2 linked regions of the Nothobranchius furzeri genome follow. The protein of the gene in region 1 purifies or fractionates together with the protein of each later gene. This does not show direct contact. Links are inferred from orthologs where the notes say so. Each region holds a gene or a part of one and is shown on either strand. Other genes may lie near its edges. The genes, in order: inositol 1,4,5-trisphosphate-gated calcium channel ITPR1; erlin2.

The links.
Region 2: the proteins of inositol 1,4,5-trisphosphate-gated calcium channel ITPR1 (region 1) and erlin2 purify together in Homo sapiens (affinity purification with western blotting, with the first as the bait; 4 studies listed by BioGRID). This does not show direct contact. The link is inferred for Nothobranchius furzeri from reciprocal best matches to the Homo sapiens genes ITPR1 and ERLIN2.

The regions. Positions count from the first base shown.
Region 1 is NC_091743.1:49,796,154-49,800,640, forward strand, and holds the start of inositol 1,4,5-trisphosphate-gated calcium channel ITPR1, read left to right. Parts: upstream 1-1,427; 5' UTR 1,428-1,616; intron 1,617-2,333; 5' UTR 2,334-2,356; coding exon 2,357-2,448; intron 2,449-4,487. Other genes in the region: sumf1 (formylglycine-generating enzyme), read right to left, coding at 57-230, 731-979. UniProt on the Homo sapiens protein: Inositol 1,4,5-trisphosphate-gated calcium channel that, upon inositol 1,4,5-trisphosphate binding, mediates calcium release from the endoplasmic reticulum (ER).
Region 2 is NC_091757.1:29,233,246-29,237,062, reverse strand, and holds part of erlin2 (erlin-2), read left to right. Parts: intron 1-1,063; coding exon 1,064-1,155; intron 1,156-1,256; coding exon 1,257-1,346; intron 1,347-3,592; coding exon 3,593-3,672; intron 3,673-3,742; coding exon 3,743-3,817. UniProt on the Homo sapiens protein: Component of the ERLIN1/ERLIN2 complex which mediates the endoplasmic reticulum-associated degradation (ERAD) of inositol 1,4,5-trisphosphate receptors (IP3Rs) such as ITPR1.

The sequences.
Region 1 (4,487 bases):
CAGAGATGATAAAAATATATCCAAAATAAGAACTTCCTGTTTAATAGACCTGCTACCTCTGTGACATATCCAGTGGCACCAACAAAGCTCTGGAACTGCTGGTTTGTTACTTCCTGGACATCCATGTAGAAGGGGTCAACGTGCACCGATCTCTGAGGCCCCTCGCCATCTGCAGGGATTCCTGGGTTGTCAGTTCCCATCAGAAACTCTCCTCCAGGTATCAACACCATCTGTAACCCAAAAATAAACCTACATTTCATTCAGACTGTGAAAATGATCCTAATCAAACATTTTTTTGTAACTAAAATCAGATCATTTCAATTGTGAAGAGGCACCACGGAGAATCCAGACCAGAACAAACATATTACTACGAAAAACTGGAAATCAGGTGAAATAAATATAACCCTGTTTTGAAAAGAAGTATAAAATGCTGCCTAAGATACTAGATGCAGTTCATTAAAAGTAATTAAAACAAAAGTTTTACTTGAAAATTGTGCGAATAAAAAGTTAAAGCTGATTACTTTGTCTGGTTATACAAAGACAGAAACTTTACTTACCTTCATAACTGCGACAAATCAAAACGGTTACAAAATGAGCTCTAAATGAACTGAATTATTGTAAAGCCATAAATTAGCTCTTACTAATGAGTAATATGCTTGGAAAGAAGGCAGTTTCACTCATCTGGTATTGTTAGGGTTCACGTTCTTCTTTAACAGGATCCACATCATACCTGACTTTGTACTTTATTCCCATCTTCACTGGCCCCGGATGTCCTCTCGTTCGCCTCTGCGGAGTATTTGTCGGCTGGGTCTTTGGTCGCTGTCCCGCTCTCATCAGCGGCTCTCTTCAGCTTTCCACAGCCGCATCCCCCTGCTCCCTCCACGGGGAGAGAGTCCTGCTCCCCCCGGCATGAACTCTGGAGACAAAATACTTCATTCACAAATACTAAAACTAAAAACAAAGGGTAATGCCGCACCATTCTTAACCCCCCACTTCTCAGGATTCACCCATGTTATTGTAAGACTTCCGCAAAGTCACGTGACTAGTCAGCTGGCTGAACGAGGTTAACGCTTTCTTGCCTGAGAAAAAAATACATTGTCGTTGTTTATCATTAAAAGTAAAAGTAATCGTTTGAAGGGCTTTGAAGTATATTGATAATTCTTTTTGAATCTAAATGACAAAAAAGACCAAAAATTGTATTTTACTTCACAAAATAAGTTTAAAAGTGTTTTCATTCGCATGGAAATAAAGCTTTTTCTTAAGTGTATATATTTGTATTCGTTTTCGAGGATTAAATAGACATAAAGAGAGTGATAACTCAGTACAGATTAAGTTTAGAACACACGGACAACATTTCCCAGCTACCAACGCGGCAGATACCACAGAAGAAGAAAAAAGAAGACGAGCTGGCCGCGAGCCAGGTAGCTCCACCAGCCAGTGCCTGCCTGCCCGCTTCAGTGAACGCATCCGCGGAAAGCTGTCAAAAACTGGATTATTTCAACCGTCGACAGCTAAATCTCACCCTCGACCCGGTGAGGAGACCACCACCACCGTCATGTTTTTTCCAAAGGTCCGGAGAAAGCCGAGTATTTGATCTGAGCGGTACAACAGCCGAGGTAAAGTTGATCCCGAACTCTGCCGCTGTCATCCTTTCTCTTTCTTCCGACTCTCTCATCTCCGAGAAAAAAAATATTTACATCTCCCTACATGGGTCTGAAGACGCTCACAGCTGAACACCAGGGCGTTTATAATGCTCTCGGGTAAGCCTTAAAGACGAGCAAGAACTTGGACAATGTGGTTCCGAATAACGGATTTAAAAAAGTGAAGTTTTAAGATGTTTGATGCTTCGGTAAACCGTCACGGCGCTCCTCGTGTTCTCATTGAAGCAGCTGCCAATTCTTTACCGAACTTTGAATTGTTATTATTAAAATTATTATTTTTTTTAATTTGGTAAAGTTTTAGATTCACCAGCAGTTTGTAAGAAGCTCGGGGCGATAGAGGTGAACAAAAGTGTAACTGTTGGCTCCAACAAGTCAGCTGCAGGGGTGATGAGCTGCTGCTGCAGGTGCAGGAACCTTCCTGGTAACAACATATCAGCAGAGCATTTCCATTCCCAGCCGCTTTTATGCAAATCCGCGCGTCCTGTCAGCGTCCGTCCAGCCTGTGAACTGTAAATGGGTCATAAACAAATGAACGACGAGGATTGGGTAACACAATGTGATGTTACAGTGTTTACTACAACATTTCTGCAACATTTTGAGTTATTTAGAACTGTGTAATTGTCTTATAAATCCAAAATGTGTCAAGTTTACCTTCTCTACTCCTGTGTGTAGGTGCTTCCTAGTTTGTGCCAAACATGTCGGATAAGATGTCCAGCTTCTTACACATCGGGGACATCTGCTCCTTGTATGCAGAGGGGTCCACCAGTGGCTTCATCAACACTTTGGGGTATGTTACACAGTCTGAATACATGCAGTGAGAAATGCATCTGATTAATTGGTGTGTGTGTGTGTGCGCGCGCGCGCGTGTGTGTGTGATGAAAGCGGCTGGTGCTTGACAGTTACAGAATAGTGTTATGCTGCAAAGATCATCAAACAGCTGGAACTGTATGGTTCATCCTGCAGAAAGCACTTTGGATTTTGAATTGGCTCGTAATCCTGGAGAAAATAAAACGAACGGGCAATAATTGCACAGTTAGGGGCTAAGACGTGGCTTGAGTGAGGTAAATTTGTGTGCAGTATTGAATTTACCAATTCCCAGCAGTACTGGGTTGTGTTTCCCATCCGATCCAGTTAGCATTCAAAACACTAAATATAAGCAAATATCTGCTGGTCGCTAAAGTCTGGATCTTATTAGGCTAAAGCTGTTGGATAGTTACACTCACTCACTGATTTTCTTAACAATCCGTAAGACAGGTCCATCATAGGGACACACAGAGACAAACCTCCATTGACACACACACACCAAGGGACAATCTAGGGTTCCCATTTAAGCAAACACACATCTATTTGGTATGTGGGAGGAAACAAGTCCCCAGAGAAAGCACACACATGCATCGGGGATAACTTGCTAACTCCTTTCAAAAGTGCTGCAGCCTGGATTTGAACCATGTTTCTGCAGGGCAACAGGGCTATCTGCAGCACCACCACAGTGACCTCCGACAAAGACACAAAAATGTGAAAAAATATGCACATTTTCTGTTGGAATCACACTGATTAGAATTATGACATGGTCTCTTGGAACATATCATGTTATTATGACGTTTTTTTTTTTTAACTTTTTAGTCATAAAATGTCTCCATAATGTTTCAGTTTGTTTACATTTGTTCTCATTTCATTCACAATTTTGCCTCCCCTCCTAAGCCGTCTCACTTTTCTCACACCTTCTGACGTGACTCACAGAAACTAGAGGTCAGTTTGATTGAGATGAACTGGAAGTGTTCATACGAATTCTATTGTTAGAGAAAATGAGCATTTTTTTTAAACATGTTTAAAATTCCTTGGACACAAGAGGAAAATGAGGTTTTGGAGACTCCCTCGTGAATCCTGCTCTCCATTTGTCTCCTACAGTCACCGCCCAGTCAGGTCTAAATTTGACAAACAGTAACAACGAGTAAATAAATCTAAGTTTTCAATTCTCTCAAAAGAGTTATTTTTTTTACAGTTTGCATCACAGTGTTTAAAATGTTCTTTTGATCTTGTCCTGCTGAATAATGTAACTGATCTTTGTAGTTTTTTTGCTTCTATTGTTCTTCCCACAATGCAACTCAAGCACATTTTGAAACAACCAAACAAAAATGCAGCGTTATTAAACGATACACAAGATTAACGGTTCCATCCTGTGACAAACAGGAAATATATTTTTATTTTATTTCCTTATTAATAAAAAGTTGGTTGCTTTGTGCTTGGGCTCATAGTCAGCAGCACACGCTCAACAAATCAGCTCTGGGATTTCATTAAACTTGGTGCCCCTCCCCCTCCTCCTGTGTTTTAGATGTAAACCAGCTCATAAGAAAGGAGTGTGAGATTGCCTTGGTGTAAACTGCAGAGTAATCATACCAGGTGAACTGTTCAGTTTGTCTGGTAACAGAATCAGGGCCCTCGTTTCAGCATCCTGGACCTCCCGCCTGCTGGCTCATAAAAACCGAAATGACCCCCACAAAACACTGAGTCATTATAAAGATATTGTGGCCTTTCTTCAGTCCAAACACTTCCCACGTAGTCATGAAAACACACACACACACACACACACACACACACACACACACACACACACACACACACACACACACACACACACACACACACACACACACACACACACACATATTTACAAAAATTGTCATGAGGATTCTGGCCAGAAGCCACCCACTCCTCACATAAAACCAACTCCGCTGCATTCTCCAGATTTTCTGATTCGAGGAAAGACGCGGTTCCGAGAGGAGAGAAACCCATAAGCATCAGAACTTCCTCGTCTGAGCTGGAGAC
Region 2 (3,817 bases), on another chromosome or scaffold:
GATCTCTTTAACGAGGATGCTGAAAAACACAAAACGAGCTCTAGAAACTAGGAAGTGATTATCGATACCACTCAGGTAAGCAAAGCGAGACTTTAACGTCAGTAGGAGGAGGGAAAGAGGAGAGCAAACACTTCTGCTTGTTCTCTTCTGAACTTCCCTCCTCTGTATCATCTGACGCTCCCTTTTAACAGGGAGCCTCACTGACTGAAATCAATTCCACCTGGCTCAGCTAGAGCCAGGAGAGCAGGCAGGGACGCTGAGGGCACCTAGTGGCCACAAAACAGACGGCGTCTGTTACAGTCATCTTTGGTTTGTTCTCGTGAAAACACTCTGAAGTTCAGACTAGGGATCAACGTGATGGTCAGAGGTCTCCCTCACCATTTATTTCCTGGTCCTTCTAAAGGTAACACGATAATCTGGGTGATTTCCCATTGCTGCGGTTGTTGCCAGATAAAACTCATCAGAGGAAAGTCGTTGTTTGGTCAGTGGGATTTAGAATCTCATAAACAGGGATGTGGTCGGCCGTACACCATCCCAGTGGCTGATTATTAAAGACAACATTAATTAAACCTGTGTGTTGGTTTTCCAGCGGAAACGGTTGTTTTCCTGTTTTGGTCGAATACTAGAGAACAGCTACTGATGAGCTGGTGTTTCATAGACTAAGCCTGTTTATAAAGTTATGAAAGGTTTATCTACACGTGCAGATTTGCTGGGTTTGGTTTGACCTCACCCTGACGGTATCGTTGCTGAATCTACTCCCTGTAAAAAGTTATTTCAACAAAGATCAGATTCCACACACACATCTGAGGATTTACGCCCTGGCAGCTTTCAGGTCTGGATTAATTACTTACTTTCATACCAGCTGTGTGAATTTATAGGATCAGAGAGAGAGGAAGTCTTCTCAGTAGTTTCCCTTAGAATCAGAGTCCAATGGTAAAATCCCAGATTTTATATTAATATCTCCATGACGGTACAGGTCTCAGAGGCTGGAGCGCTAAGGCTTTGTAAATAATAATGGATCCAAACCTCCATGAATCATAACCTCTGCTATGTGTGTTGGCAGGGAGAGTGAGAAAACAAAGCTGCTGATCTCCCAGCAGACTCAGAAGGTTGTGGAGAAGGAAGCCGAGACGGAGAGGATCAAAGCTGTGATAGGTGAAGCACATAGACCATCAGGACCAGCTGACTGTGTCCTACACTCCTCAGGCTGAAGAGCGCGTGTGTGTGTGTGCGTGTGTGTGTTGTTTGTCTTGTAGAGGCTGAAAAAGTGGCTCAGGTAGCAGAAATCAAGTTTGGGCAGAAAGTCATGGAGAAGGAAACCGAAAAGAAGATCTCAGAGATTGAAGGTTTGTGTCGTTGATGGAGGAGACGTGACCGAGTTTTACTCCCCCACCCTACCCCGTCCTGCTGTAAAGCAATCTGAATTTATGTCTGAGCGCCAACAGAAGCCTTAGGGCTGGTTCATATCTCTCCATCAGAGTGTGTCGTTGTGCACACACCTTGACGGAGATGTTTTTCCTTAAGACCTCCCATCTCCTGGATAGTGTTGCAAAGCAATTCCCCACCAGGACAGCAGGGGGCGTAATACCTTTCTGGGGTATCTGGTCCAACATAGTGTGTTTACTGTTTTTGTATTTCAGACACTTTATAACACAGATGAATTTGTCCTACATTCTCTTCCACCTCTTCATGCAGTCGTCATCTCTGAGCCCACGTTTCTCGTCATTTCCGTCCACGAATAAAACGCTGGCTGAGTATCATTGTACTCCTTCAGTCACGGTTGAATTAACATTCTTATTTTCATTTTTTTTTCTGCAAGGTGTCGTTCAATTTTCTTCTTTTGCCACTATATATCTTAGGTTCTCGTTTTACTTTTTTGAGGGGGCAATGGTGCTGCTGGTGATAGTTTAAGGAAGCGGCGTCCTGACCAATCACCATCTCTGCCACTTTTGAAGGGTAGTTAAAAAGTTGGCGTGTCTCTCTCAACCACTGGGAGCCCATCGGAGAGCCCTTGCACCAACGCATAAAGGCCTTGTGTGTCTCCACACCCATGCAGACAGAGAGGTATAAATAAGGCTTTACTCTCACAGGCGGAGCGTTGGAGATTCAAAGTCGTGCGATACCCGATCCATGATTCTGCAACCATCTAGGAATTCACGGCTGATTTCTATCGGCTGAGGAGGCTACTACTGATGCAGCCGTATCTCTCACTTGTTGAACCGAATATCCGGTGGCATCGGTTTATCATTCACAACCCTAGTCTCCATCAGTCCGTGATTTCATATCGTCCTTTAGCTTCCTCAGATGATCGTAGGCTGTGCGGATTTCGACTCTGGTTTTATCTCTGCTTCACGCTCAAAGACATAATTCTCTGGCTCTTACTTCCTGGCGCCGCCATGATGCCAACAACAAAGAAAACGTTTTTTTCAGTTGCTCAGGAGGTTGAGCGGGTTGTCCAGTAATCAGAAGGTTGCAGGTCCGACCCCGGCTCTGATCAGAGAATATTGCTGTTGTGTCCTTGGGCAAGACATGTAACCCGCCTTGCCTGCTGGTGGTGGTCGGAGGGACTGGTGACCCCAGTGTTCGGCAGGCCTCGCCTCTGTCAGTGTGCCCCAGGGCAGCTGTGGCTGCATCGTAGCTCATCATCACCAGCGTGTGAATGGGTGAATGCAGGGCTGCCAACTGTCACACATTGAGCGTGAGAGTACGAGTGTCTGCCCTGAGTCTGGGGTTCAAATCCTGGTCAGGTCGTACCAAAGACTCTCCGCTTGACACTCGGCATTAATAGGTTGGATTGGGGGGTTAAACCAATAAATGGTTCCGAGCGCGGCCACAGCTGCAACTCACCATTTCCTCCCGGGGAGGGGTCAAATGCAGAAAGCAAATTTTGCACAACCATCAGGGTGTGTGACAACTAATGGGACTTCAACAATATCTCATGCAGAAGAATCAACAACCCCCCCCCCCCCCCCCCCCCCCGCTCTCATGGTACAGGGTGAAACATGGATAGTTCAATGCATCCTATTGTTTTTTATTGACAGTCGACAAACTGAAGAGGCTAACTGCTAGCCTTTGGTTAGCTACTGGCACGGAAACTAGCTAACAGCCCTTACGCAGGTAAAGAGCACACCCTAGGGCACCTACCTGCTCCACAAAACTGTCAAGTCCTGTTTTATTGTCAGCAGAGGGCTGTCAAATAAACACTGATCAAGTTTTCAACTCACTGATATCAACTTTAAAGCTCTAGCTTAAAGTAAAAAAAAAAACATTTAGCGTTACTTTAATGATCTCCGATAAGGTCTCTTAACGAGTCTCTGCTGACACTTCTTCTACATCCAGGTTTGTGTTGTTCTCAGACGTGGATGCTTTGTTTCCTGCTTCATGAGACTAACAGCTGATTTGGACCCTGTGAAGGAGCCTCACCGACGAGGTCCCCGGTGCCGTTATCAGCTCCACCCGTTTGTTCCACCCGGCTGTCCTCCACTTGTGGTTACCAAGGAGGCAGCAAACATACACACCTGACAGACTTGTGATGTGAAGGGGAGCTTCTGGCTGTGAAATGAAGCCACTGATGTTTGTTTGTGATCTACAGACGACGCGTTCCTGGCCCGACAGAAAGCTAAGGCAGATGCAGAGTTCTACACGTCTCAGAGAGCCGCCGAGGCCAACAAGGTAGAGGGCAACGCCTGCAGCTCCCTCTGGTGTCACAACCCTGTTTTATCATCTCTTCTTTCTCTTCCAGCTGAAATTAACTCCAGAGTACCTGCAGCTGATGAAGTACAAGGCCATTGCTGCTAACAGCAAGATCTATTTTGGG